Saccharomyces cerevisiae S288C: one gene and its partners. Changing the gene in region 2 together with the main gene of any one other region gives a genetic interaction. Each region holds a gene or a part of one and is shown on either strand. Other genes may lie near its edges.

Region 1 (8,429 bases), on a different chromosome or scaffold from region 2:
CATTCCATCTTCAGAAGGTGATGATAAAGATGAGGGATGGATCCTGATAAGCAAAGGACCTTCAACGTTCTCAGATGTATCATCAATATCCATATCCACGTCTACCTTGCCCGCGCGGCCTAGGTACCGGACAAACTGCGTCAAAGAACGATGCATGGTGGCATTCATATGTACATGATCGCGATCTTGAACATACTCGTTGTATACTTTGTTAGCATCAATCCATTTTTCTCCGTGCCGCTGCTTCAATAACTGTAGAAATCCCTTTTCAAACTGGATATTGTAGCGCCTAGCGTCCTCAGCTGTCACTTGACTAATCTTCCTTAAATGAGATGGCGATTTGTTATGTGATTGAAATCCGTTTGCATCTTTACATTGCCTTTGGCATATTTGGCAGTAGTAACGGGTTTTCTGTAACCCACGACGAGCTCCCTGCTTGGACCAATATTTCGCACTATCATAATCTGCCATCGCTGTGATTTTCTACAATCAAACAACCCTGTGTTTTCGCTCTTTTTAGGACTTGTCAAGAAAAGAATGATGATACTGACTTTTCCATTTGATATTAATTTCAACTAGCGGAGTTTTTCCAGTTTTCAAAGTACAGGACAAAGTGTTGTGTAACCCGGACCAGATTTACATTGGTGTACTATAATATGTACTATAACAGATTGGAGGTATAAACCTAGAGACCCTTCTACAATACACGTACGAGGAGGTGGTCTTCGAAACTTACAGTACCACCTGACATGTCGTTATTAGAGCAATTAGCAAGAAAAAGAATAGAAAAATCTAAAGGCCTTTTAAGTGCGGACCAGTCTCATAGTACATCGAAAAGTGCATCCTTACTAGAAAGACTACATAAGAATAGAGAAACTAAAGATAACAATGCTGAGACAAAAAGGAAGGATCTGAAGACGCTACTTGCAAAAGACAAGGTAAAAAGAAGCGACTTTACCCCGAACCAGCATAGTGTTTCATTGAGTTTAAAGTTGTCTGCCTTAAAGAAGTCAAATAGTGATTTGGAGAAACAAGGAAAATCAGTGACATTAGACAGCAAAGAAAACGAACTCCCTACCAAAAGGAAATCGCCTGATGATAAACTCAACTTAGAAGAGTCATGGAAGGCTATTAAAGAAATGAACCATTACTGTTTCTTGAAAAACGATCCATGCATAAATCAAACCGACGATTTTGCGTTCACAAACTTTATCATAAAAGATAAAAAAAACTCGTTGAGTACATCAATACCGCTATCGTCGCAGAATTCATCATTTCTGTCCTTAAAAAAGCATAACAATGAGCTCCTTGGTATTTTTGTGCCTTGTAACCTGCCGAAAACAACTCGTAAAGTAGCCATTGAGAATTTCAATAGACCAAGTCCTGATGATATAATACAATCGGCCCAACTTAATGCTTTCAATGAAAAATTAGAAAACTTAAATATCAAATCTGTGCCCAAGGCCGAAAAAAAGGAACCAATTAACCTTCAAACACCACCTACTGAGTCGATTGATATTCATTCATTCATTGCCACCCATCCTCTGAATTTGACATGTTTGTTCCTCGGTGATACAAACGCAGGCAAATCCACTTTGCTTGGTCATCTTTTATATGATCTAAACGAAATTTCTATGTCATCAATGAGGGAACTACAAAAAAAAAGCAGTAATTTGGATCCTTCATCTTCAAATAGTTTTAAGGTCATTCTAGACAATACCAAAACAGAAAGAGAAAATGGATTTTCCATGTTTAAGAAAGTTATTCAGGTAGAAAATGATTTACTACCGCCATCATCAACCTTGACGCTTATAGACACTCCTGGTAGTATCAAATACTTCAATAAAGAAACTCTGAACTCAATTTTGACCTTTGATCCTGAAGTTTATGTATTGGTTATTGATTGCAATTATGACTCGTGGGAAAAATCATTAGATGGTCCAAATAATCAGATTTATGAAATTTTAAAAGTGATCTCTTATTTGAACAAGAATTCCGCATGCAAAAAGCACTTGATAATTCTTTTGAATAAGGCAGATCTAATTAGTTGGGATAAGCACCGACTAGAAATGATTCAGTCTGAGCTAAATTATGTGTTGAAGGAAAACTTTCAGTGGACAGACGCAGAATTCCAATTTATCCCGTGTTCGGGTTTATTAGGTTCGAATTTGAATAAAACTGAAAACATCACAAAATCTAAGTATAAGTCAGAATTTGACTCTATAAATTATGTTCCCGAATGGTATGAAGGTCCGACATTTTTTTCGCAACTATATCTATTGGTAGAGCATAATATGAACAAAATAGAAACAACTTTGGAAGAGCCATTTGTAGGCACAATACTGCAATCTTCTGTTCTTCAACCGATAGCGGAGATAAATTACGTGTCACTCAAAGTCTTGATCAACAGCGGATATATTCAATCAGGCCAGACAATTGAAATTCATACACAATATGAAGATTTTCATTACTATGGTATAGTTTCAAGAATGAAGAATTCAAAACAAATACTGGAGACTAACACAAAAAATAATATATCAGTCGGTTTGAACCCTGACATTTTAGAGGTTCTTGTTAAGATTCATAATACCGAAGACTTCACGAAAAAGCAATTTCACATTCGTAAGGGTGATATAATAATTCACTCTAGAAAGACGAATACACTATCACCGAATTTACCAAACACACTAAAGTTGTTAGCCTTGCGTTTAATAAAATTATCAATACAAACGCACGCGCTAAGTGATCCCGTTGACTTGGGTTCTGAATTGCTTCTTTACCATAATTTGACGCACAACGCGGTAAAATTGGTGAAGATTCTCGGGACTAACGACATCTCAATTAATCCAAATCAGTCACTTATTGTCGAAGTCGAAATTATAGAACCAGACTTTGCTCTTAATGTGATTGATTCCAAATACATTACCAACAATATTGTTTTAACATCAATAGATCATAAGGTTATCGCAGTTGGCAGAATTGCATGCCAGTAATCCTACAACTAAGAAATTATACTAGGCATTCATACTTATTGTTTAATATATAAAATGAATAGTAATAAGTTGATGATAGATTGATTTTTTTAACCCATTTTACACATATCTTATGAAAGTGATATTAACCTACATAATCTAGGAACAATATAAAAACACCCATGATAATGGCACCATAAGTGGTCATTTTAGCAGTTCTTCCAGCAGCTCGTTTCGCTTTACGTAATTCTTTATTTCCCTTCTTAATATTCAATTCAATGTCATCTTGATTGTTCAGCATTAGGTTTATATTTTGAGATTGCACCGTTAAATGATTGGACAATTCGTTCTGTATATTGACAATGTCTAAAATTGTTTTGTTTATAGTCTCCACTTTTTTCAATTGCTCATTTTTTTGATTTAGCAGTTCCGAATGTTCTGTCTCCAACACTTGTAGTTGCTCCTGGGTTAATTTGGATATCGTCTCTTCATAATGTTTTACTTCGTCTTGTACAGTTTCTACGGGAGCAGATTGTGACACTGAGATGTCTATTGCATCTGCAGAGAAATCATCCGCATTGTTGGATAAAGTAGGCATAGGCGTTGAATTGAAATTCATTTTATTTTCTAATATCAATCTTTCCTGTTGTATGGTAGTGAATTTGGATGAAACATATTTTATCCACAAATTCAAACACCGTAGGACACCTAATCTAAATTCATAAACTCCATTTTCAATGTCTTGCGGATGTATCACATGCTTAGTGTTGTCGTTTTTATTGGAAAGTATTTTTGACCATCTGTGAGACTTTGACTGAAATCTTTTCAGCGACAAATTATGCCTTTCCATTTCGTAATTCTCTAGGAATTCAAACTTTTTGAAATATTGTTGAATTTGCAGCCTGCATTCCATGTCAAACTCGTCCTTTTCCGCATCACTCATATTAAAGTCATCTAAATAGTTTTTTTCAATCTGTTTTATTACCTTGTTTAATTCGACTAGGAACTTCAATAGTCTTGCACATTCCTTAATAAACGAATCCCTAAACATTTCACACGTTTCATTAGAATTCCCGAAGTCCTCTTGTTTCCTTTCAACATGATCATCTATACCATTTTGCTCATTTCTAGCATCATCGATAACAGCAACATACTTACGGAATATTGGTGTTAAATCAGACATCATGAGTTAATAAGCTCTTCACTGCTTTTACGGGTGATTTCCCAGCACCGGGGGAAATGATACTAGACGTATGTGTATGTATTCTAGTTATTCTCATTCATCTGAGCTCACAAGTTGGGTAGGGTAACGGAGATCTTTCCTTGTTGGCAGTTCTTAATTAAATGTGCCCTTTTCAGAAAGATACCAGCAAAGGTAGGAATGATTTATCATTACATGACATGTATCCATATTCCAGGATGGATCATGCGAACAAGCTTCTTTCCCCTCTCGTCTGTAAAGGACGGGATTGAGATTCAATTAAAAAATTAGTTTCATTGGAAAAGGCCAATAAAATATGCAAAGGTCCCGTCATTATACTGCAGCTACCTCAAAGAGATTAGCTTTGTGTCCTCAACGTAGGACCGCATTGAACAGGTTGGAAGAGGTGTTGCTTTTTTGACCTTCTTTCTCAAACTTAATATTTGGTGACGCGTTAAATAGAAAAAATGAAAAAGACCTTAATTGACGCGTTTCCTGAAATATTTACTATAGCATAGCTGTAATTGTATTTTCTAAACTTGTAAGTGACTGTGTATATCAAACAATAAAGTATCAAGGAGAGAGCTTCATAACAGAACGGTACAGGATGACTATGGACGGAAAAAACAAAGAAGAAGAGCAATATCTTGATCTATGCAAAAGAATCATTGATGAAGGTGAATTTAGGCCAGATAGAACAGGCACTGGTACGTTGAGTCTTTTTGCACCACCCCAGCTGCGTTTTAGTTTACGTGATGATACCTTCCCACTACTAACGACCAAGAAGGTTTTTACTAGAGGTATCATACTTGAACTATTGTGGTTTTTGGCCGGTGATACAGACGCTAACCTATTGTCTGAGCAAGGTGTTAAGATTTGGGACGGTAATGGATCTCGTGAATATTTAGATAAGATGGGGTTCAAAGATAGGAAAGTAGGAGATCTGGGGCCCGTTTACGGATTTCAATGGAGGCATTTTGGTGCTAAATACAAGACGTGCGATGACGACTATACTGGACAAGGTATTGATCAATTGAAACAGGTTATACATAAACTAAAGACAAATCCCTACGATAGAAGAATCATTATGAGTGCCTGGAACCCAGCTGATTTTGACAAAATGGCTTTGCCGCCATGCCATATTTTTTCACAGTTCTATGTCAGTTTCCCCAAAGAAGGAGAAGGATCCGGTAAGCCCCGCCTTTCATGCTTATTGTACCAACGTTCTTGTGATATGGGGTTGGGAGTACCATTTAACATTGCATCATATGCTTTGTTGACTAGAATGATTGCTAAAGTTGTCGACATGGAGCCAGGTGAGTTCATTCATACTTTGGGGGATGCACATGTTTATAAAGACCACATTGATGCCTTGAAAGAACAAATCACCAGAAATCCAAGACCATTCCCGAAACTAAAGATTAAAAGGGACGTTAAAGACATTGATGATTTCAAGTTGACAGACTTTGAAATTGAAGATTATAATCCTCATCCAAGAATTCAAATGAAAATGAGTGTATAATTGACAGCACGAGGAGAAACAAAATCATGTACTTACGTATATACACACAAAATCGAATGTATATAATACAATGGTTTATTATGCAAAAATATAGAAATTATTAAGGAACACCAGGGCAAAAAGACTATATATCATTTTTTGGTGCGATATGTTTTTGGTTGATGTTTCACTGCCTTACCATTTCCAAATAAATCAAATACTGCTAAATCATCTTCATTTAGTCTAAAGCTAACAGATTTATTATTAACATTATTAATGTTTGAATTGTTATTGTCGAAATTGTTGTAATTGTTGTTATTATTACTGGTTCCCTTTGACGACTTGGAGGGTCGCGTAGTAGAATTTTCATCAGATAAATTATTGACAATTGCATTTTTGAACAATTTTTTAGTTCTTGTTGACTTTTTCTTATTCTCCGATTTATTTGTAATGTCAAGTAAAGGCGACGATTTTTTAGGGCTATTGTTGCTAGTTAGTTTTTTTTCGTTTTTGTTGTTGCTGTTGTTGTTGGAAGTGGTCATTAGATGAGCGGTATCCTCGTGTATTTCATCTTCCGTTTTTTTCCCTTTTGGAGTTCCATAATCCTTTGAGACGACGACTTCTCTCAATTGCGGTTCGTCGGGTATTGAATCTTGGGATAAACTTTTCCTTTTATGTGAAGTTTCCCGATTTCTCTTGGAAACCTGTAGATCATGTATATCAATCACAGTAGTAGCATCCACAAGTTTTTCTGAAGGCCTCCTCATTTTGGCTCTTAAAGAAGGCAAAGTGTAATCTACAGCTTTACCACGAGTTCTTCTAGTTCTCGTAAATGATATTTCGCTGTTGCTGCTCATGTTACTTACGGGCATGACTTCGTCAATAACCTTTTTCTTCAGTTCTATCCTAGGCGGCTTCATGGAATGCTTAATTTTGGTCTTTGGATGAGAATTAGTAGAAGAACTTGATGAAGGATAGACCGTTGAAGCATCGCTAGTGGTAGTAGGTAAAGTTGCGGATGGGCCTGGTAAAGGCAACGGCAAAGGATTTGACGGCACTGTACTTAGCATATTTGTACTGTCATTGAATATTTCTAGTTTAGAAGATGAATGCTCGGGTTCTGTCGGATTCTCCTCTGGTATGGAGTATTCTATAATTGAATTGGTAAAATTACTGACAGAATCGCTATTTTCCTCTTCAGGGTTTAAGGCATCTATTGTTTCCTCCACTTGCGCAGACTCGTGTGATTCTGCCGGTACCTCTACAGAGGAATTTTCCATCATGGGTTCGTTTTCACCGGTTTCGTCTTCAGGTTCTAAACTCGTGGATACAAACATAGATTGCCGCCTAGAACTCTTCCTTTTTTTAGCCTTAGGCTCAAGATCTGGACCATCGTCCTTGTTAAAACTTGATTCATGCGACAGGTTATTCTCGTGATTTGATAACCTAGTGTAACTTTTTGAGTATGTGGGTGATGACAATGAGCATGATCTTGACCTGGAACTCGTTCTCTTCAACATTGTTCTTAAGCTCGAACTGGGCAAATTTTCGTTTTTACGTACGTTCTCAAACATATAAAAAATTTCGTCAAATCTTTGAATAATACCGTTTTCAATGACTTGTAGTTGATTACTTAACCGTTCCCTGTAGATAGCTTCGCTTATAGAGGTTTTAGATCGTAGAGTCACGTTTTCTTGTACCAGCTGGCTTATTTTTTTTTCCAAGCTATTAACTTTAATTTTTAATATGGAGTTATCCTTGGCCAGCAGGGAGTTTTGCCTCGAATACGACTGTCTGATGTTTTCCACTTTTTGCGATTCGAGATCCATTAGGTTTTGAAATTCTTGTATTTGTGGGGTTAAATCATCGTGGGAGACCGTACGCCTGCTGCTTTCCTTGTTAGGAGCAATTTTTCTCTTCGGCATGGTCAAACAATAACCCCTCTATACCCAATTAAACATATATATGCGTGTGTAAGTAATATAACCCTGCGCCTAGCAGTAGTTGTAATGTGGAAATGGCATTATCAATATTAGTAGACGCTCACTTTGTGAAATTTCTTTGTTTACAAAACAAAAGGGCCTTGAAAAAAATAAAAAAAATCTGTTACCCGACCAATAGGAAATAAATAATCAAAAATAAAAGGGGCGAGCTGGGAATTGAACCCAGGGCCTCTCGCATGCTTTGTCTTCCTGTTAGTCAGGAAGTCGCCCAAAGCGAGAATCATACCACTAGACCACACGCCCTTGTTAACTTGTTGTTAAGACTACTTAGTCTTGAGTATCACACTGCATTCAGTAACATATATTCTTTTAATCTTCTGGCTGAGAACTCCAAGAATAATCGCTAAAAATACTCAAGGGTAAGTACCCCAAACAAAGTTCTGTCCTTCTTAGATATTTTAAATGAGGGAAACTAAATCATTAGTTTATTATTTAGATGCATTTTTCCCAGCTTTAACCTTTTTATTTAAAGGAAATTATAAAAAAAATTTTAAAAAAATGAGTTTTGCGTATCCAATAAATAATAGACAAGATGCTGTCACAACAGTATTAAAATTTCTGAAAGATTCTGCTGTCTCTGGACTGTGTAATACAACAATTCTTCGGAAAACTTGATTCGGAATAAACAATGGTCTTTCATTTATGGAAAATTTTCTTCTTTGTCTCGGTCACTAAAAAAAGCCTTAGCAAAGCTATATAGAAAGAAAATAGTGATATGGTGTATTTGCCGTAAAACTATGGTTTATCCAAGG
Region 2 (3,379 bases):
TCAGTTTACCTTTAGTTAGAAAAGCGATGGAGCTAGCATCTTGCTACTATATAATAGTTGTTCAAGATCGTAGGTCTGCCTGCCGAGTGATTAGGGGAGGCTACTGAAGTTTGTTTTAATGTACCGGTTACATTTTCTTGTACGAAAGTATATGAAGGGGGCTTATTACTTCCAAGCCTATATTTTCTGTGGCATCGATTAGTATAGTATAAAAGAGGGAGTGGACATAGCGGTGAAAACTATACAAGAATAAAAAAGGAACTAAGAACCCTTTGCATTCATATAATTTCACATATGCATTTTTTATTTTATACTCAAATGTATGTTCTCACCTAGCTTGAGAAAGCGATGATCAAAGTGAAAGGTTCAACCATTTCTCAAAGTGCTTAACACATTATTTGAAAAGAAAGGGTTTTATTCCATCCACTCTATTATATCTATAAAAAATTATTTAAATTACCCACATATTTGAAAGTCCCGAATGGGCGCTGTGGGAAAATTCAGAGCCTGCCGCGATCGGCCGTGTTGACTGGTACTTCCACGACGACAGCGACGACTTTACCTGTGTCCAGGTTATAAATTGGAGGATGCTGTAAGTTTCTCAAGACACTTTGAATGACACCTGAGTGACAAGTAAGCGAGATGAATTTTTCTTCGCTTGACAATTGATTAAATAGTTCAAATAATCCATTCAGTGTACGTTTGTCCATTTCAGCACACGTTTCTCTATGATCAGGAAGCCACAATTCATCATCTTCTGGGTAATCTGGTACATATTGCCAATGTACAGTGTGGCCCGATTCCGTGCTGAAATCCTGGTATTCGTCAACTGCCATTGAGTGAGCCACTCTTTTGTCACAAGTGTGAGAGCCCAACGTCTCCCTTAGACCTTCTATAATGCGTGTAGAAATTTTAGTTCCGGCCGGTAATTCTTGCGTCTCCGCTAACACTGGTGTCCACGACTCAATGAATGTTTCGAGACATCTTCTCATTGGAGAACTGAAAAACACATGAGGTAGCATACCTAATTGCTTTGCCATTGGTAGCAAGACATTCGATCCTGTTCTTCTAACTTGATCTTTACCCAGAGGTGTCAGTTTAGAGTCAAGCCACTCTCCATGTTCATCGCCCGAAAGCAACGACCAATAGGCGTCCCATTTCTCCATACCGTACCTCAGTATGGCAGCATTGTGGTAACCTTGACCATGCCTAGCTAAAATCAACAGCTTATAGTGGCGATTTTTGGTATTTCTAGGGATAGCATGATACAGTTCCTTCCAATTCTTATGGTTAATCAATTCTAAGTGATCATATTTCGTGGAGTCTAATCCTTGAAAACCCTCACTTGGATATGCAGCAAAATATCCTGGGACTGCTCTGAGTGACATTGTTGAATAACTGTTGGTGATTTCACGCAGCAGAGTCTTGGAAAGAAATCGTTAAATAACATACAAATCTCTCGAGGGTTTTTTTTTGCAAATGACACTTTTTACTTTTTCCAGTACTAGCTAGCACCCGAAAAATTAACTTGACTCGCACATGCCTGCTGGGTCATATCCGAATCTGCAAGAAATTAGGATTACAAATATTTATTCAAACGTTGCACAACCACGCAATAGAAGATAATATCTGTAAATTTTAATCGCTTTCATCTGAAAACACTGAGCCTCTTCTTAATTTTCACGGACTTTTTCGCAGCCCAGGTTTGACCGGCTAAGTACGAACCTCTTTTGTTTGGAATAAGAGTTTGGTATTAATCAATTGTTGGTACAAAAGATTAATAGTATTACTTGTGTTTTCAGAATATAATTGTCCGTGAGCGTCCTAACTGTCATCGAGTTTATAGGAAGCTAATTAGTAAGGACTGACCATGCAAACCCAGCAATGAATGAAAGGATATAAACGAGGGAAGAAATGGTAGCAGTATTAAGTAAAATTGTCCATTTCCCCTCGTGAAATTATCCAAAACGCGGCAGAAGAACTTTTAAGTTATCTACTGTACATAGTGTTATTGTCCTCACGTGAATTGAATTGAAACTTTTTCAGAACATTATCGCTGAACTATAAATGAAATTTTGTAATGATTGTTCTGATCCCATCTTACTAAAAGCATTATTGTGAAGTATAAAATACAATAAATTTCTTCTCAAAAAAACTTGCCGTACATGATATGGAGAAATAGGTGAATTTAGGGATAGTAGTTATTATAATGAGCCTATTATAGAGAATCTATTATCGATTTCTAACGGTCGTATCAATCTGTTGTATTACGGGCTCGAGTAATACCGGAGTGTCTTGACAATCCTAATATAAACAGTCTTAGGGAAGTAACCAGTTGTCAAAACAGTTTATCAGATTAATTCACGGAATGTTACTTATCTTATATATTATATAAAATATGAATCATACTAAGTGGTGGAAGCGCGGAATCTCGGATCTAAACTAATTGTTCAGGCATTTATACTTTGGGTAGTTCAGCTAGGGAAGGTCGGGTTTTGTCTCATGTTGTTCGTTTTGTTATAAGGTTGTTTCATATGTGTTTTATGAACGTTCAGGGTGACGTATTGTCATACTGACATATCTCATTTTGAGATACAACACAATCACGTTTAAAAGCCTTGTTGGCGCAATCGGTAGCGCGTATGACTCTTAATCATAAGGTTAGGGGTTCGAGCCCCCTACAGGGCTTTCTTTTTAAAACAGGATGCTAAAGCCGACACCGTTCAAACACAAGTGGCAGCTTTTCTCGAGAACAGCAATGCCCACAGTTTTATTTACAATTTTACACTATTGACGTGGAGATTTTTTTATCCCGCATATGACCTAGTAGAGGATCTCTGTCTTCCCCTGATAAATGTCAAATGTATGACGTTACCACAATTGTATCACGGTGGTTTCAGTCTGTCATGAGGAATAAGGGCATTCAGTACCGACAATGCTATACTTGTAAATAGAAAAATGATGTTCTAAAATCGGCATTCTCGCTATTTGAGATTTTGTCTTTTTTTACCTGGTATTTCGCGTTTATATTACGGATGCAAGAAAAGGAGAAGGGCGCATCACATCGATTTTGGTCTACCTATAAACATTCTCTCTCTCATCCACTTTCGGTTCAATAGTGCAAAAATAGGTAACTAACAACTCAATTGAATAGTAAATGTCACTTCTAATAGATTCTGTACCAACAGTTGCTTATAAGGACCAAAAACCGGGTACTTCAGGTTTACGTAAGAAGACCAAGGTTTTCATGGATGAGCCTCATTATACTGAGAACTTCATTCAAGCAACAATGCAATCTATCCCTAATGGCTCAGAGGGAACCACTTTAGTTGTTGGAGGAGATGGTCGTTTCTACAACGATGTTATCATGAACAAGATT
Region 3 (8,118 bases), on a different chromosome or scaffold from region 2:
GTTATACGAACGTATTTTTGAGAGAATATAATGAGAATACAATGAGCTTCAGAAGATCTGTTTTTCTTTACTTGGCACTTCTTCCTCAACAATTATTGGCACTACAAAATTTTCTAATTAAATGTTAAAGATCCCACAGACATCATTCGTATATATCCTCCCATTTTATACGGTTAGCCAACTTTGCGATCCTACGGAAATTGCTATTTTTATAGTCAACTCATTGATCTCGAGCACAGCTGCTCTTTTCTCTCAATGAATTACGTTATATGTTAATCACACAAGCATCAGTTTTTCATCGCAAAAGAAAATATTTAGAGTTCTTGCAATTCAGATGTACCTCAATTAATAACTCAATCACCTCCTATGTTCTTGCTGGTAGTACTGCTTTTGTCTTAATTACTGCTGAATCAGCCTTCTAGAAGACCGTTCTGTTTCAGCCGCTCGCCCCTTTTCAAAGCTTGCGCGGCTGAGTTTTATGAGGGGCGGCTTTTTTGTGAATGGCAATCTACCATTATTAGTAGCAATATGATTTGCAGATAGATACATATATATCCTTCTGGGTTCATGTCTCGTTACCATCCACACTAATGCATAGGACCAGAAAGAAAGGACATCGAATCCAACACGTATTAAAATAAGGACTCCTCATTAAAAAGGCTTTTAATATTCAACTTGCTATAGATCACGCACCCTTTTGGCAAGTCAACCTTAAATTATTATGATTTCTGTTTGCCCACAAAATGACTTGCAAAAATGCTACAGAAGCCTCACATTCGATGTTCCAGGACAACAATTCGAAGAGAGAAATGAACAAAACCTTAAAAAACGGGCCAAAAAGAAAGGCAGTTTCCAACCATCTGTTGCCTTTGACACAGTGCCTTCCACCGCTGGTTATTCTTCTATAGACGACAGCAGGGAAGGATTCAAAGGTGTACCTGTTCCCAACTATTACACGATGGAAGAGTGCTATGACGATGAAACAGACTCTTTTTCGCCAAATTTGCAATATTATTTGAGAGATACATTCCAATCATCACCTTTTCTGAATACTAGAAAAGAGAACAAATCTGAATCCAGTAGTTTTCCAATGAGATCCTCAAAGTTGTTGGAAAAGAATTCTGACATCAAAAAATATTTCTTGGTATCCAAGAATGGAAAAATAGTGAGGAGAGACTATCCAAGCACGCCAGTAATTGTCAACGAAACGTTGATGATAAACAGGTTTGAAAAGAACTGGATAAAGTTATGGCGCCAAAGAAAACTACAAATAAATGAAAGGCTGAATGACAAAAAAAAATGGTTTACTTACCCAGAACTTATCTTCTCTGAAGAGCGTATTAAACCGTTATATAGAGGAGATGATAGTGCACCATGTACAAAAGAACAAAAAAGAAAGCATAAAATACTTCAACAAAAGGTCGGATATCCCAATAACCCTAAGACAATAGTTTGTCACATTAACGGAAAAAAACATACGTGGGTTGCCCTAGACTGGACAGTCTACAAGTTTGCACGAAATCTTGATCACATTGTTGTCATAACTACACTGCCAAAAATGATTTCTAACAGGAAAAAAACTGCAAAAGATGATACAGAATGGGCACCGGGATATCAAAAAGAAGTAATAGATCAAAAATTAAACGACATTTTTGATTATATTTTACAGCTAGTAAAAGTGGTCAAAATATCCGTCAAAATTACTTTAGAAATAATTGTAGGCAAAATTAAAAAAAGTCTGGTAGATGTCATTAATGTCCATACTCCAGATTTCTTAGTTCTTGCTACTTTAAAGCACGAGCGAAATGAGAATCTTATTACATATAAATCCAAAAAGCTGACAGATGTCTTTCCTGTTAGTTATCCGATTCCCACATTTGTTGTTCCCTCGAAACGAATGTATTCGTTCGAACTGAATCTACAAAGAGAAGTAAATGAACATTATGTCTCAAAAAATCATATGAAGCACGAACACACTGACGTTGAGAGCATGAGCAGTTCAATGTTCAAAAAAAATACAATATCAGATATTTCTTCACATATTTCCGTAGATTCGTACGCCGAAGATTTCAAAAGGCAAGGCTACATCAAAAAGCAGTTCAACACCTCTAATGATTCCATTCCAAGAAAATTGACCGGTCTCGCCCAGCATTCAAGAAGGAAGATCACGGGTGATATAGAAAAATTACAAGACGATGAGAAAGATAGAGAATGTACTAAGGAAAAACTTTTGTTGAAGAAAATTGATATCATAATTAGAGAGTCATTGAAGTCTTCTTTAGCGATAGAGACGTTGCCTGGTAAAAATGTATCGCAGTCCAGTCACGGTGACCAAATTTCCAGCTTTAAGAATGCTTTGATAGGCAATGGGTCGAAAAACACAAAGTTTAGAAAATCTTTAATACCATATTCTTCCTCAGAGGAACAAAATACCACAACAACTATTAAACTCAGTAGCTCGCCTACGTCCCAAATCAAGTTTGCAACCTCTGTAAAACACAAAGATGGAAGAGCCGCCCTTGGCAAAGCCAGAAATCTGCCTGATATAAGGCACAGTATTTCCTTCGACAAAGAAAATTCCTTTGATCCATCTGATAAAAGCAGTAGTGTTGATAATAGCATTCCTTTGAGGAAAGTTAAAAGTGCCGGTGCGTTAAGAAAAGTCAAAACTAATGACTCCTCAAGTAGTGCAGGGTCAAAGAAAAGCTCGTCTAGTTTTAGTACTGTGAACACCTTCACTGGGGGTGGAGTTGGGATTTTTAAGGTGTTTAAAAGTGGAAGTTCCTCTGGAAATAAATCATCCAGTAGAAGGAATAGTAGCAGTGGCGATGTTTTTGAAAGTGATGATCGTAACGACAAGAAAAAGAAGAAGAAAAAAAAGAAGAAATCATTGTTCTTATTCGGCAAAATATGAGCGGATAGTTTGTACACATAGTGTCCCTAAAATTCCTATTGATGAATAGATCAATTTTATTAGCAGACAATTGGGGGCAGCAACTGAATAGCAGAAGAAATTTGAGTTCAATTATTTTTTTTTCCTGTCATACATAATGGCCTATTTACAGGTACATACATATAGAGTATGTATATAAAATCTCTGTTGAAGAAGACATCATTCTTAGTCCTTGGCAATCTTAGCCAGGATTTCAGCGTCCCTGAAAAGAATAACTTCATCGTCGTTACCCAATTTAATGGTAGAACCACCAAACTGTGGAATCAAAACTTGGTCACCAACTTTAACTTGAGGAACAACCTTATTACCATTAGCATCAGTAAAGCCCGGGCCTACGGCAACAACTTCAGCTTGGTTTAACTTCTCCACGTTCTTTTCAGGTAAATACAACCCGGATGCTGTCTTTGCTTGTGCCTTGATTCTTTGGACAAGGACACGGTCCATCAATGGAACGATAGATTTAGCAGACTTCAAAAGGGTGGACATTCTTTTTTTTCTGTAGATTCAATATATTTTCGATCAATGGCTTCTATCAGAAATTATTTTAAACCTAGCACATAATAAGTTTGTACTGTATAAGCGTTTTGACTAATTTTATACATAATCAAGCTTCTTTTTCCCATTCCTTCAAGATTCTAGAAATTTCTATCATTGATGACGGGCATTACCCCGTTAATGACCTTCACACGAATGAGAATTGGGCGGCTAATGAGAGAACTTCGAGAGGTGCAATAAGTGAGAAATAACAACTTTAGAACTCATTATGATTGCTTCCAATACCTAATCCTACGTATGTACTAAATTAAAAAGACAGACATGCATTATTGAATATTGACATTTTGAGAGTAACTTTTTATTATGAGTGGCATAATAAGATAATCGACGCAAGCCACAATTTATACAATAAAAAATGCTACCATCGCTGCTACATATGAACGAAAATAATACAACTATCGTTACGGCCTTTGCTGAACCGTAATAAAATAAAATTCCTTGTTACATTTTTTTAGCCAGCTGCCTCAGAAAGAGGCGTTTACTATTTAATGGAGAAAGAAAGCAAAGAAAAATAAAAGGTATTTTCTTTACGGAAAGCCTTCGAGCAATCCAGGAGAAAGTGGACCTTTTTTTCCCAATGAAGAGATCATAGGAGTATGGATTGAAAATATAATAGAACTTCGGGTAACGAGGTGTAATTTCACAGTCCATAATACAGAGCTAACGGTTTAAGGGTAAATAGTTATCTAAGTCAAGTTTTGAAGGAACAAGTAAGAAAGGTCGCTACTGTTTCTAAACATAAGATATACAAAAATAAATATAGCTATCTCAATGGGTGCTGCATACAAAGTATTTGGGAAGACGGTTCAACCTCACGTATTGGCTATATCTACGTTTATCGCTACTGCTGCAGTGGCATCTTACTTTACCACGAAACCAAAAACCAAAAATGAAGGCAAGAATAGTTCTGCCTTGAGCCAACAAAAAAGCGGTGAAAGTTCAAACTCAGATGCTATGGGAAAGGACGATGATGTCGTAAAGAGTATTGAAGGATTTTTAAATGATTTAGAGAAAGATACGAGGCAGGATACGAAAGCCAACTGATTATGTATAAAAATTTCTGAAATGGTGGTGTTCTTCATCGTTCAGTGAAGGGATGCACTGATTTCTATAAACTTGAAGCACTTTTTGAAACTACTGTTCTATAACGAAAATTAGCGTCCTTCTTTCTATTAAGTATGCATTATACATATAATTCAATATATTCTGAATAGCAAAACGGCAATGAAAAAAAAAAAACACTGAAAATACTTGCCTTAGGCCATTGTGCATGATACGAATATGCACAAAACTTGCCTCTTTTTACTTTACGGATCAATGACAACACTCAGGTGTAAGTGATAGTTGATGGCCTTTCAATATTTGAAAGGCTGGAAGATAATTATAAAAAATCGAACTAATTGCCTATGATTGTTTCATTACTGAGACTATTTTTTCACCTCAAGGGGGTCGTCTGAATTAGCAAAGCCATGGCAACTAGTGCAGTGCTTGAAGTCACCAGCTCGTTTGGTTTTAGATGCAAGTAATGTAAAGAAATTAATTTAAATAAAATAATAAAAGTTTCTACTTTTTTTTTCAATTAAAAAGCATAATACAACCAATCAATTTTATCCTATTTGGCCTGACAATGATGATATCATAAAAGTAAACGGTTCCTTGTTTTTATTTTTCTTGCATGCACTTTTCAGAAGTCTTGGTAGCGCTACTAACGCAAAATACGAAATATTCATTGGCTAATAAACTTGATTTTTTCATTGAATGTCGTTTTTGAACTATATACAATATAATTAATGCTACGACCCTAAACTTTTCAACTAACTCTTTGACAAGGAAGCATCATCACTTATTACAACCATAGAATGTTACTTAAAGGACTGTTCTCATCTACATCAACAGATCGTCCAAACTTTGAGCAGAATCCTTCTTGATCAAATCCAACATCCCTTCAGGCAAAATAGGTTTACCTTCTTTATCTAAAACGTATCTAAATGGCATTTCCGTGGCCTCATTTTTATTGAACCTAAATTCAGGGTAGTCAATGAACTTGATGTCTTCAAATGCAATCCTGTCTTTGATAATCAACTGTGTTGTTCTTATGGCAGTATCCGTAGTCATTTGTTTATCACCTAGTCTTCTGCTAATTAAAAGATTCGGATAGGCAGTCTTTAGTTCTTTGGTACGATCTCTTGGAGGATGATCACCCAATATGCCACCAAATACGAAATAGTCGAATTTCGTAGCATCCTCCGGCTGTAAATCGATTGTAGCCCTAGGGTCCAATAGACAGACTCTGCCATCTTTTAACAGTTCCAAATCCTTGAAATCTTCGTTAATGCCCTTCAAATCCTTTGTAGTCCATCTTAAACCAAGTTTTAGTAGCCTTTGAGGGATGTCCTTTTCCGTGGTACTCTCTGGTAACGATGATAAAATCAAGTTTTCAGCTCCTACTTCTCTCAGGATTTGGCTATACTCTAAAATGACCCATTCACTAAACCCTTCCTCCATATGCTCAATAATGTACTTCATCGTATATCTAGAAATAATCTCCACAGCTGTATCAATCTATATTAACAATAGATATGCCCCTCAACATCTAATAAGCAAAGGGCATTGCTCTTTTACAATACTCGATGAGCTTACCGAAAATTTCTAATCCAAAATAACGGAAAAAATTGAAAAGGTGTCAATCCTGTTACCCGCAAGTTGAAGTACGGAAAGAATACAACCTTACACAGTGGAACTATAATAGACAGTAAAGAAAAAAGTTAAAAAAAACTTGTGCCTTGCGTTTACTGATCAACCAGTCTTTCTTTTTACATATATTTCTGATGCATTTTCATGTTTACTTAAAATTTCTTTTAGGATAAACGCTGCAATATCCGGTTCTTCGAAATAAGAAACATGTGATTTTATAGCTGATATAAAATCCACTTCTAGCAGACTTGGAGACATAGCATAATCTAGACGTCCGGTGTAATTCAAACCTGTAAGCATTCTCGTAAGATTTTCTGATAACTTGACCTCTTTTTTTTCTGGAGAAGTTTTTTTGGACTGCAAATTATTTTCATCAGTACCTGGCAAATCTTTCCATATGTTTTCGCCAAATTCCAAAACTTTAGAAGTTAGTCCATAAGCTTCACTACAATGTGGTAAATAAGTTTGTTCGTAATGAGCCATTTCTTTACTAACAAGAGGTTCCATCCTATAAGAAATGGGATCACAGACGTGGTAAACATTATAAATGTCCTTACATTGCGGTCTCTGTACGGTTAATTTTCTCTCCAAGTCATTGGGAAATTCGGGACGGTCACCAATTTTTGTTCTTTGAATTAACTTTAACAATCCAATTGGTGAGCCAATAAAGAACAGGTTGTCTACTTGAAATTCTAATTCATATTTTTTTTGTTTGGATAGAATATCAAATAATATCATACTACCCAACGAATGGCCCACTAAATGGACTTTCCCATCAAACTCTGGATTAAATTCTTTAAAAATCCGATATGTTTTGTTCAATTGAGAGGTTACTTGTTGTAGAATCATATCTTGGTAGTATGGTTCGACATACAACAAAATATCTAGTAGACCGTCAGCCAGTAGCTTCCTCAAGGGTAACACTCCATTTACTGTGACTTGTGACAAAGTCGGTAGGTCAGGATTTTCTATATTTTCCTCCTTAGCATCCGTTTGGAAACTTATCGAGTGCCTCCAGGTGATGGGTAGCACTTGAACGTTACAGTTGCTTTTATAATCAGGTGCTGTGTTTAATGATTGTAGTTTCTCAGAATTATTGTAGATTTTTTTCATATTAGACCTAAGTAGATTTACCGTGTGTGCGAAATTTACGTATTCGTACTTCTTACCCAAAGTCTGACCTATACCGTGAACGCATAGTATCAAGTTATCCACATCTCTTCTGTTACTTCTAATTTGTCTATCGCTTGCGCCCGAATTTTTGCCATCTTCTATTTTGCTACTAGCATTAGCGCCTTGACTGTTATCTGCATTGTTATAGTCTGTTTCCATTTGCTTTTCCAAGCTCTGTGCATCATCTTGATCTTTACTAGCATTACCATTGAACAACTGTAAAAAGTCCGATAAATTGAAGAGGTTTGAAACTTTCTTTTCTAACTTTGTTTCAATGCTCCTCGATTTGGAACTGTTACTACCATCTGCTACTTCCGTTTGAGGCGTTTTTGCTGCCTTAAAAGATGTGGATGTCTGTTTAGTAGTTGCGGAGGATGAATATTTGTATGATCTTGTAATCATTGTAGCATTAATCGGTAAGGATTGAGCCAGATTAGACCTTAGAAAGGCTAATTGCAGTTTTCCTCCATCTAAATCCGATAGTAAAAATGCAGTTTGTTTATTGGCAAACAAAATAAACTTGAAAGTAGATTCGTTCTCATCTTTATTGCTGGATCCATTTTTTTGCTCTCCTTCGTTTTCTTTATCGACTGGGTATTTACCTTTGAGCCTAAATATATCTTGCGATTCTGCAGGAGGTGTCGTGGTCGGATCATCATTACTGTCGTCGAATTTGAGCTGCTTATACAACCCTTCAATTTCGGAGGTAAGATCACTGGACAAAGGTTGATTTGAAGAGTCGA
Region 4 (8,221 bases), on a different chromosome or scaffold from region 2:
TCACTTACTTAAACTATCAAAACTTGTTGTGTTTGGGGTCTGTTAATGTAAAGGAATCCGGATAAAAATTTTGAGACAACTTTGAGAGCTGTTTAAGACGAAAAAAAGTGACCTCAAACACACGAATAATAATGTTTAACTAAGCTTTCAATTTGCAAAGGTATACTTTGTCTTTTGAGTTTTAGTTTCCTATAAAATTAGGACAACAAACCCTCTCAGATGTGTTCACCAGTTTTCCTTTGCAGTTAGAATTCGCGAAGGCCCCGACGCCCTACCTATATTAAGTTTTTGAAACAAATATTGCACGTGATACAAAATGTACACATATTAAGCTTTGTTGAAGCATTACTTATATACGTAAATCTATTATAGAAAAATGTAAATGGGCACATCACAAGTATAAACCTTCTAAATTTTCCTCAACTTTATTTTTCATGACTCTCTCCTTGGCTTGTTTAAAATCCTCCGCTGTAACTTGCATTCTTCTCTCTCTAAGGGCTAACAAACCTGCTTCTGTACACATTGCCTGGATATCGGCGCCTGACAAATCATCCTTTGTTGTTACTAAAGTTTCAAGATTAACGTCCTCACTTAAATTCATCTTGGAAGTGTGAATCCCTAAAATTTTTTTCTTAGTACTTAGATCAGGGTTTTCAAATAAGATTTTACGATCAATTCTCCCAGGCCTGATTAATGCTGGGTCAAGAGTCTCGATTTTGTTAGTGGCCATAATCACCTTCACATCCCCTCTGTCGTCGAACCCGTCCAGCTGGTTCAGCAATTCCAGCATGGTTCTCTGAATTTCTCTCTCACCACCACTATTGGAGTCATATCTTTTAGTACCAATGGCGTCTATTTCATCAATAAATACAATACTTGGTGCATTCTCACCCGCTACTTTGAAAATTTGCCTACACAACCTAGGACCATCCCCCAAATATTTTTGAATTAACTCTGAGCCAACAATCCTTAAGAATGTGGCAGATGTTTGATTTGCAACAGCCTTTGCTAGCAATGTCTTACCTGTACCGGGTGCACCATAAAGAATCACACCCTTGGGAGGTTTGATACCCATCTCTTCATACAGTTCGGGGTGTGTTAACGGTAACTCTACAGACTCTTTTATTTCTTGAATTTGAGATTCTAAGCCACCAATATCACTGTATGATTCTGTTGGCGACTTATCCATTTTCATGACCGAAACCATTGGATCGGCGTCATCCTGTAAAACACCTACGATGGACATGGTTTTATGATGCAATAACACAGAACATCCAGGCTCTAGTAACTCTTTATCGACAAAGGATAAGATAGATACATAATAATCAGGCATAGTTGGACTTGTCACTATCGCATGATCATCGTCTATAATTTCTTCAAGGGTCCCAATGCTCAATGGATTTCCACGTATTTCTTCCAATTGTTTCTTTTCCTCCTCCTGCTTCTTTTCAAAGGGTTTTAAAATTTCAGAGTTAGAGACAAATTCTTCTTCTAATAACAAATGGTCTTTAATTCGTTCCATCCTTAGAAGCTTTAACTTACAACGAGTACTTGGATATATGTTGGGTAATTTTTCAGCAGTAGCTGGACCTCCCTTTCTTTTCTTACGACCAAATTTAGATTGAACGGGAGGTTCATATTTGGGTTTCTGATTAGATCCCTTCTTCTTCTTTTTGTCTTGTCCAGATGATACACCTTGTCCCATTTTATTTTCTATTAAAAACGCTGTCTCTTCTTTAACTTGAATTGACTGTAAGCTTGACACTGATACGCATCATATTCACTAATATTCACATTAACCTTCTTTTAGGTAAAAGAAAAGAGACATTTGCCACCGGAGAAAAACCGTTAATAACTCGTTACCCGGAGTGATAAAAATATTGGGAATATAAAAATGACGACAACTGCAGGACTCGAACCTGCGCGGGCAAAGCCCAAAAGATTTCTAATCTTTCGCCTTAACCACTCGGCCAAGTTGCCTTACTAATGATGAATTATTGACTTAAGATATATCCCAAACCTAGGAATATGTAAACCTGCTGGAATATTATTTGTTAGAATAAAAATCAACTATTCTCTCTCAACTAGTAGTCTTACTACGAGTATATTATAATGTACAATGTTAGATGATGACATAAGGTATGAGAAACTGTCATAGAAGTTAGAGGAAGCTGTATTCTGTATACATAATATTATTGCCTTTATTAACAATGGAATTCCAACAATTATCACTTGTTGATAGTTAGAGGTAAAAAATAGTATTAATGAAGAAATAAGTATTGATCTTCTTATACTAAATAAGAGAGGTATATAAAACACACGCCGATTGGTCATATTAATCATGACCAATATAATAGTGATTCCGGTAGTTACTATACATTGATGTGACGACTCATATTCCTCATATATGTACCTACCATATCATGTTCAATTAATAGATCTTTAGCACAGCTTCAGTATTGTCTGAGCTTCTCGTTTAACATTCCTTCTGCAATAGGTGCAATCACACTTAAACGTATACGAGGTGTACATTAATATACGGTGTAAGCATTAGATTGTTACCATAGCAACTCATGTCACTATTAATTACTCTCGTTCCAACATCACTAAATTCCCGTAATTACCACCGCAAAAGAAAAAAGAATACAAGAAATGGAAAACTAGCGCATAATTTTGTTTCTTTCTTTTTCAAAGTTGCAGCCGCTACTATTGATTCGTTTGAAAATAGCACTTGGCGGCTAAACTACCGGCATAGAAAGTGGATCGGGCAAAATTAAAAGGGAAAGAGCGACGGGGTTACGGGACCATTACATAAAAAAAGTATCACAAAATCTATTGTATGCAAAGATATAAACCATCACATTATTGAAATAATATCGTTCTTGATACTTCCATAATCCAAGAAAAATATTTCAAGCACTTTCTTGATGTTCCTTCCTATAATTTTTCACACCATCCTAACCCTCCTGAACTTTGGTAAATATTACTGTTTACCTATTCAAGAAGACGATGATAAATCAGGAAAAGAAATTGAACAAATTTTAGACAATAACATCGAGTCATTAGGACTACTACTAAATTCGATGTCCTTATCCTCGAACTTTACGACAGGCGATCCTGAACTAGATTCGCTCTTCCAAGATGATTTAATCCCCGAGTTATATAGTGTATTAGATGGCTTCTAACACCAAGTATGTGTATTCTAAGGGTATACAAAATAAATACTGCGATACTATTCAATTCTTCAACAGCAGCTTACTAGATGTAAAATTAGTTACTTCAATTTATACTGTCACTTTTGCATATTTTCAATAGAATAAAATTACCGACGTCTGCCTATTTCTTCCATTGATGGATATATTTCTTTCTCTATCTCATTGCTTGTTACAACACCAAAAGTTTTGCTAAGAATGTGTATAGGAAACAAAAGCCAGAAGTCATTTCGTTCCAAGCCTTTAAGCGCCTAATAGTGAACTTTGCACCGCATACGTTAGCTTATGGTATGTGTGGTAATGTGTGAATTGTTTGTGATATGTAAAAAAAAAAAAAAAAAGGCCACGCTCAAGCACACAATGAAATAAAATTTAAATTTCGGGGCCATTCTACCGTTGGTTTTGCTATCTGCCGGAAAGAGGAAGTCCACAAGTGCCAAAAACTGTCAGTTACATTTTAAAAATAATCGAAATTTATTTTCTTTTGCTATCTCGGTTAAATATTGATGTGTGATTTGGCATAGTTGGCCATTGTCTTATGATTTCTGATTCTACGACGTTCCAATTTTTTATAATCAGTTCAATAATAATAATACATCGATCGGTCGGTCATATTCTTTTCTTTCTTTTTCTGTCAAGGCGTTACTGACGCGACACACAAGCGGCAGGTATAGTGACGTTTTCCGTTGAATGAAGTAATTCTAATGAACCTACGGTTCTCAATAGCATTGGCAGAGGCAGCTGATAAATGTACAGTAGTTTTTACCAGGAAATCCAGCGAGTATTACACATCCGTAGACGCGCTATGTTTTTCCTCAGGTTATCTTTCAGTAATGCTTGAGATCTCTAAAGGAAGTATACACAGTAATAGTGTGACCCAAAAGTTGTTAAAATTTCCGGAGGTAGCCATTATATACCAATTTTTGTATAAATTTACAGGATTAGAAGGTACCTAAAAAACTATAACATGTCAAGAAAGGCCTCTGAGAAGTGAAACAATACTTCCAAGCACAAATATATATTAATAGAATAATGACTGCTTGGTAGTTGAGAGATTACATGTATTGCATAGTGACTGAAAAAATTTAGTATAATTGCTATGTTGCTAGCACAGTGTTAGAATAGGGGCAGATCATTTGTATCATATAATGGGGTATGGAGAACAGGTACCAATTGGGCATATTGAATATTTCGAATATGATGTTATCTCCAAGAATGTACATCATGTCCATTGTGACATTTCATGGTTTTATATATGGGGTTTCTGCATTTTTCAACAAACATCTCTTTTATAAGCTTTGCGCTAGTTATGGTATTTATTTTTCAAATTAATAACTTACAAATAAACAAAACTTTCTCAACTAAATATTTATTTCTTCCCTGTAGACTGTAAAAATTTCGGAAGCAAAAATAAACCTCCCTGAATGTTAAAGGTGATTATTAGGTGAATAATTTGATAATTGTTGCAATTCCACTGTTTGTAAATTCTATAGTATTATGTATACAGAATACAGCTTCCTTTAACTTCGACGACAATTTCTCATAACCTTATGTCATCATCTAATACCGTACATGATAACACACTATAAGAATTGAGAAACAGTCATCAGATGAGATGGAAGCTGCAAATGCAAGCATTGAAAATATAATAAATAACGAATGATAACAAAAAATGTGGGGAAGAAAAAACAACATTACCATGTATGATTCTTGCTTCCCTCTTGTAGTATCCTCTATCTTGTAAGAGACGTTGTGATATACTGAATACCCAGTAATATTCCCGCTATCTAGAATGAAAATTGTTGGAATTGAACTCTAATATCATCTATTTAATATTATATTATCACATGCGGTGTAAGAAGATGACATAAAGATTGAGAAACAGTCATCCGATCTAATGGAAGCTGAAATGCAAGGATTGATAATGTAATAGGATAATGAATGACAACGCATAAAAGGAAAGAAGATAAAATAATAACATTATGTAGAACTATCGATTCCCTTTTGTGGATTCCTATATCCTCGAGGAGAACTTCTAGTATATTCTGTATACCAATATTATAGCCTTTAGCAACAATGGAATCCCAACAATTATCTAACAACTCACATATTTCTCAAAAATAACACAATTTTATGAAAGTTCACATAATTGAGTTAGAGCTTGAAATACTCTAACTTACAATCAAATGAACACAAATCAGAAGCTTCTATGGCCAAGTTGGTAAGGCGCCACACTAGTAATGTGGAGATCATCGGTTCAAATCCGATTGGAAGCATATTTTTATGTATTCTAAGTATGCAACGATACCGCTGTCATCGTTAGCATGATTAGTACACTGTTGTTCTTTTTCAATCTAACAACCTTAACTTCAGTTCCGGCTACAGTACATCTATTCAACGATTGGAAAAGAAAATTTTTTTATCTTTAGCTGCAACAAGAAAAAATCAATATTAAATTTTCATTTAAGTATACAGAATGTTAACAGCGTTCACAAGAAAAGAACCGTATGGAAATATAGCTAATTGTGATTTCTAAGTTTCTTTTTTATCGTAACAAAAAGTCTTCGTCCAGGATGGTATCAACTTGCTGTCTACCGATTGGGTTATCGGTGTTTTGCCTTATTGGTTCATCAAAGTCCACAAACTCTTCTGCGACGCCCTCCTCTATCATTTCTTCTCTTCTTCTTGAAACTATTTCAACGAACTTTTGGACATGAGCGTCATTAATTGCTAGACCCTTCTGTAGCTGGAAAGTTTGCCTACACATCGGACACAGTCCTTTTGAGGTTGGTGTATCAAGCCAACGGTATATACAATGATCATGGAAGTTATGATGACATAGCCCAATCACTAAAGGGCATTGATCGCCTGGAAATTTACAGCTTGGACAGGTACCGTTATAACTGGCACGACAGATACCACAGACATCCTCGTCTTCATCATTGCCAATTGGATCGTTATTGGCTGCGTCCTCATCAGATGTGCTAGGGATGTGCCATGACCAAGCAAACACACTGTGCACTTCGTTTATTTTAACTTTCATATTTTTATAATCTGTATTGCCACTTTGCTTGTTAAACTCTCCCGATATTGTACAAAGTTTTTGAAGAATGCATTATTTTTTTATCTGCAGACACGGAAGATACAAAAGTTATCTCGGCAGCTTACCCTTTATATCGAATGCAGGCGTAGACAAAAGTGCGTTGCATAACTTACCAAGGTGAAGTGCATGGACCAGCAAAGGATAGAAGTTATTGTAAACATCGAAACCATAAACTTATATATGTATATATGAAGGCATTAAGCGTTTTATGTTTTCACAACCCTTTTAAGAGATGTCTTGGACAAAAAAGCTTCTTCGTTGGTGATAGCTTCTTTATTCCAACTCCGAAACGCCTTGTGCTAGGAAAACTACGCCTTTCCAACTACACTGCATTTCACGACCTAATCATTCACGACCTCTTTATTTATATATTTATTCTTAATTTTTTCTTCTTTCCTTTTTGTAACAATTTCAATTATTGGAAGGTTTTTCACGTTGCTCAACCGAGAATTTACCATCACTCCAGACTTGTAATGATTCTAAAAGTTTCCCTTGAGTGTGCAGTTTCTTGATTTCTTCATTACCTCCTCTTGATACTCCATTAACCAAAAGGTTTGGAACAGTTCCTCTACCGGTCACCAACTTGATATATTCTTGCAGCTCTTCCCCATGTCCATGTTTGTCAAGTTCTATAATATAGTAGTTTGGGATAAACTGATACTCATTTTCAAGCAGTTCCTTCATGCCCTTGCTATATGAACAGGTGCTTTTACTAAATATTATAATCGGAGACAAGTCTAGTATGAGGGAGTATTCTTTTTGAACATTAAAAGCTTTGGTTATTCGCGACCCTTTATCGTTTTTAATGGCCGACAAACTATCATCAACCGATGCTATGGGCTGTTGGAGTCCCACCTTCTGTTTTATTTCATTAATTTCTTCGTCTACTTCAGAGCTCCCCTTATTCGTGGTAGAAGTCGGCATAGCAGCATATTCCCTGGAAGATCCTCCAGCCATATTGTCCATATTAGTACTAAATGCTTTAGAAGTTTCCTCTTTTATCTCTACCGTCAAGAAGTTCGCATTTTGCGCTACGAAAAACACTAACAACAATAATAGCGTTGTAATGCTTAAAATTCTAGCATTTCTCTTATTGGAAGGTATCATAATAAAATTGTTTCTATATTAAACCGCTAGGTTGCTAAGGTTTCGTCTTTTCTATCTTACGATAATTTGCTTAAAAGTTCATTTAGAGAATAGATAGTGATCTTTCCCAGTATAATGTTTTCCCGATTTCGCGAACGCTCCGCCTCAGGCGCCCCGGGACGCGTCATGCGCGTTCCAGAAAGTTAACTAACTGCTAGTGCATTCAATTTCTCAAGGCGTAGTATTTGGGATCTATAAAGCCTTCGACATTAAGCACTATGCTTAAAAGCGAACAGCCTGCGCCACTACTTAAGAGCGAATCTTGTGTGGAGGGATGACTAGGTCCAAAGAGGGAGAAAAGGATCTTGCGGAAAAGTCAACAACACTAATCGGTAGCTGAGTCTGTCAGTGCATCCTTACTGGCTTACTATTTTCATTCATGCTGCAAGTAGATTATCCTCTAGTTAAATTAAACGCGGATGAACTACGCCATTAAATCCATCATAAGAAACTAATTACTACTTTTAGGAAATTAGCCAACTAAAAACTGCTGAAACGCCACATTTCACATAAAACCCCACGGAGCAGTAATGGGAGATCTTAAGCTCAGCCCAGTACATATGTCCATCAGCCTTGAATAGCCACGGTGAGTTCTCGAAGCTTCCTTCCACCTAGTCCAGAATATTTCTTGGTAAATGGCTCGAAGTTTTCGTATTAAACGATGCTATCAGCGGCATCGTGAAATATTGAAATATAAAAAGTATTTACGCAACCGAAAAGGATATTAAGACAAACCCATACAATAGCCCATAAACCAAGC

Evidence for each region.
Region 1: mutations in PMU1 (region 2) and CDC21 together harm fitness more than expected from each alone (negative genetic interaction), as found in Saccharomyces cerevisiae (one large-scale study listed by BioGRID).
Region 3: mutations in PMU1 (region 2) and HSP10 together harm fitness more than expected from each alone (negative genetic interaction), as found in Saccharomyces cerevisiae (one large-scale study listed by BioGRID).
Region 4: mutations in PMU1 (region 2) and APC11 together harm fitness more than expected from each alone (negative genetic interaction), as found in Saccharomyces cerevisiae (one large-scale study listed by BioGRID).

The regions. Positions count from the first base shown.
Region 1 is NC_001147.6:463,941-472,369, reverse strand, and holds CDC21 (thymidylate synthase), read left to right. Parts: upstream 1-4,780; coding exon 4,781-5,695; downstream 5,696-8,429. Other genes in the region: RTS2 (Rts2p), read right to left, coding at 1-471; SKI7 (Ski7p), read left to right, coding at 750-2,993; UFE1 (Ufe1p), read right to left, coding at 3,118-4,158; SGO1 (Sgo1p), read right to left, coding at 5,827-7,599; YOR072W-B (uncharacterized protein), read right to left, coding at 7,740-7,901. UniProt on the Saccharomyces cerevisiae protein: Thymidylate synthase required for de novo biosynthesis of pyrimidine deoxyribonucleotides. Required for both nuclear and mitochondrial DNA synthesis.
Region 2 is NC_001143.9:200,384-203,762, forward strand, and holds PMU1 (putative phosphomutase), read right to left. Parts: upstream 1,389-3,379; coding exon 501-1,388; downstream 1-500. Other genes in the region: phosphoglucomutase PGM1, read left to right, coding at 3,158-3,379. UniProt on the Saccharomyces cerevisiae protein: Probable phosphomutase that may have a function related to the manipulation of phosphate groups on carbohydrates. Reduces trehalose-6-phosphate levels when overexpressed in TPS2-deleted cells.
Region 3 is NC_001147.6:367,406-375,523, forward strand, and holds HSP10 (Hsp10p), read right to left. Parts: upstream 3,440-8,118; coding exon 3,119-3,439; downstream 1-3,118. Other genes in the region: YOR019W (uncharacterized protein), read left to right, coding at 722-2,914; MCO10 (Mco10p), read left to right, coding at 4,280-4,552; protein-arginine N-methyltransferase SFM1, read right to left, coding at 5,393-6,034; DDL1 (putative carboxylic ester hydrolase), read right to left, coding at 6,305-8,118. UniProt on the Saccharomyces cerevisiae protein: Eukaryotic CPN10 homolog which is essential for mitochondrial protein biogenesis, together with CPN60. Binds to CPN60 in the presence of Mg-ATP and suppresses the ATPase activity of the latter.
Region 4 is NC_001136.10:431,531-439,751, reverse strand, and holds APC11 (anaphase promoting complex subunit 11), read right to left. Parts: upstream 6,256-8,221; coding exon 5,758-6,255; downstream 1-5,757. Other genes in the region: proteasome regulatory particle base subunit RPT2, read right to left, coding at 392-1,705; YDL007C-A (uncharacterized protein), read left to right, coding at 2,928-3,185; YDL009C (uncharacterized protein), read left to right, coding at 6,504-6,827; glutathione-disulfide reductase GRX6, read right to left, coding at 6,727-7,422. UniProt on the Saccharomyces cerevisiae protein: Probably catalytic subunit of the anaphase promoting complex/cyclosome (APC/C), a cell cycle-regulated E3 ubiquitin-protein ligase complex that controls progression through mitosis and the G1 phase of the cell cycle.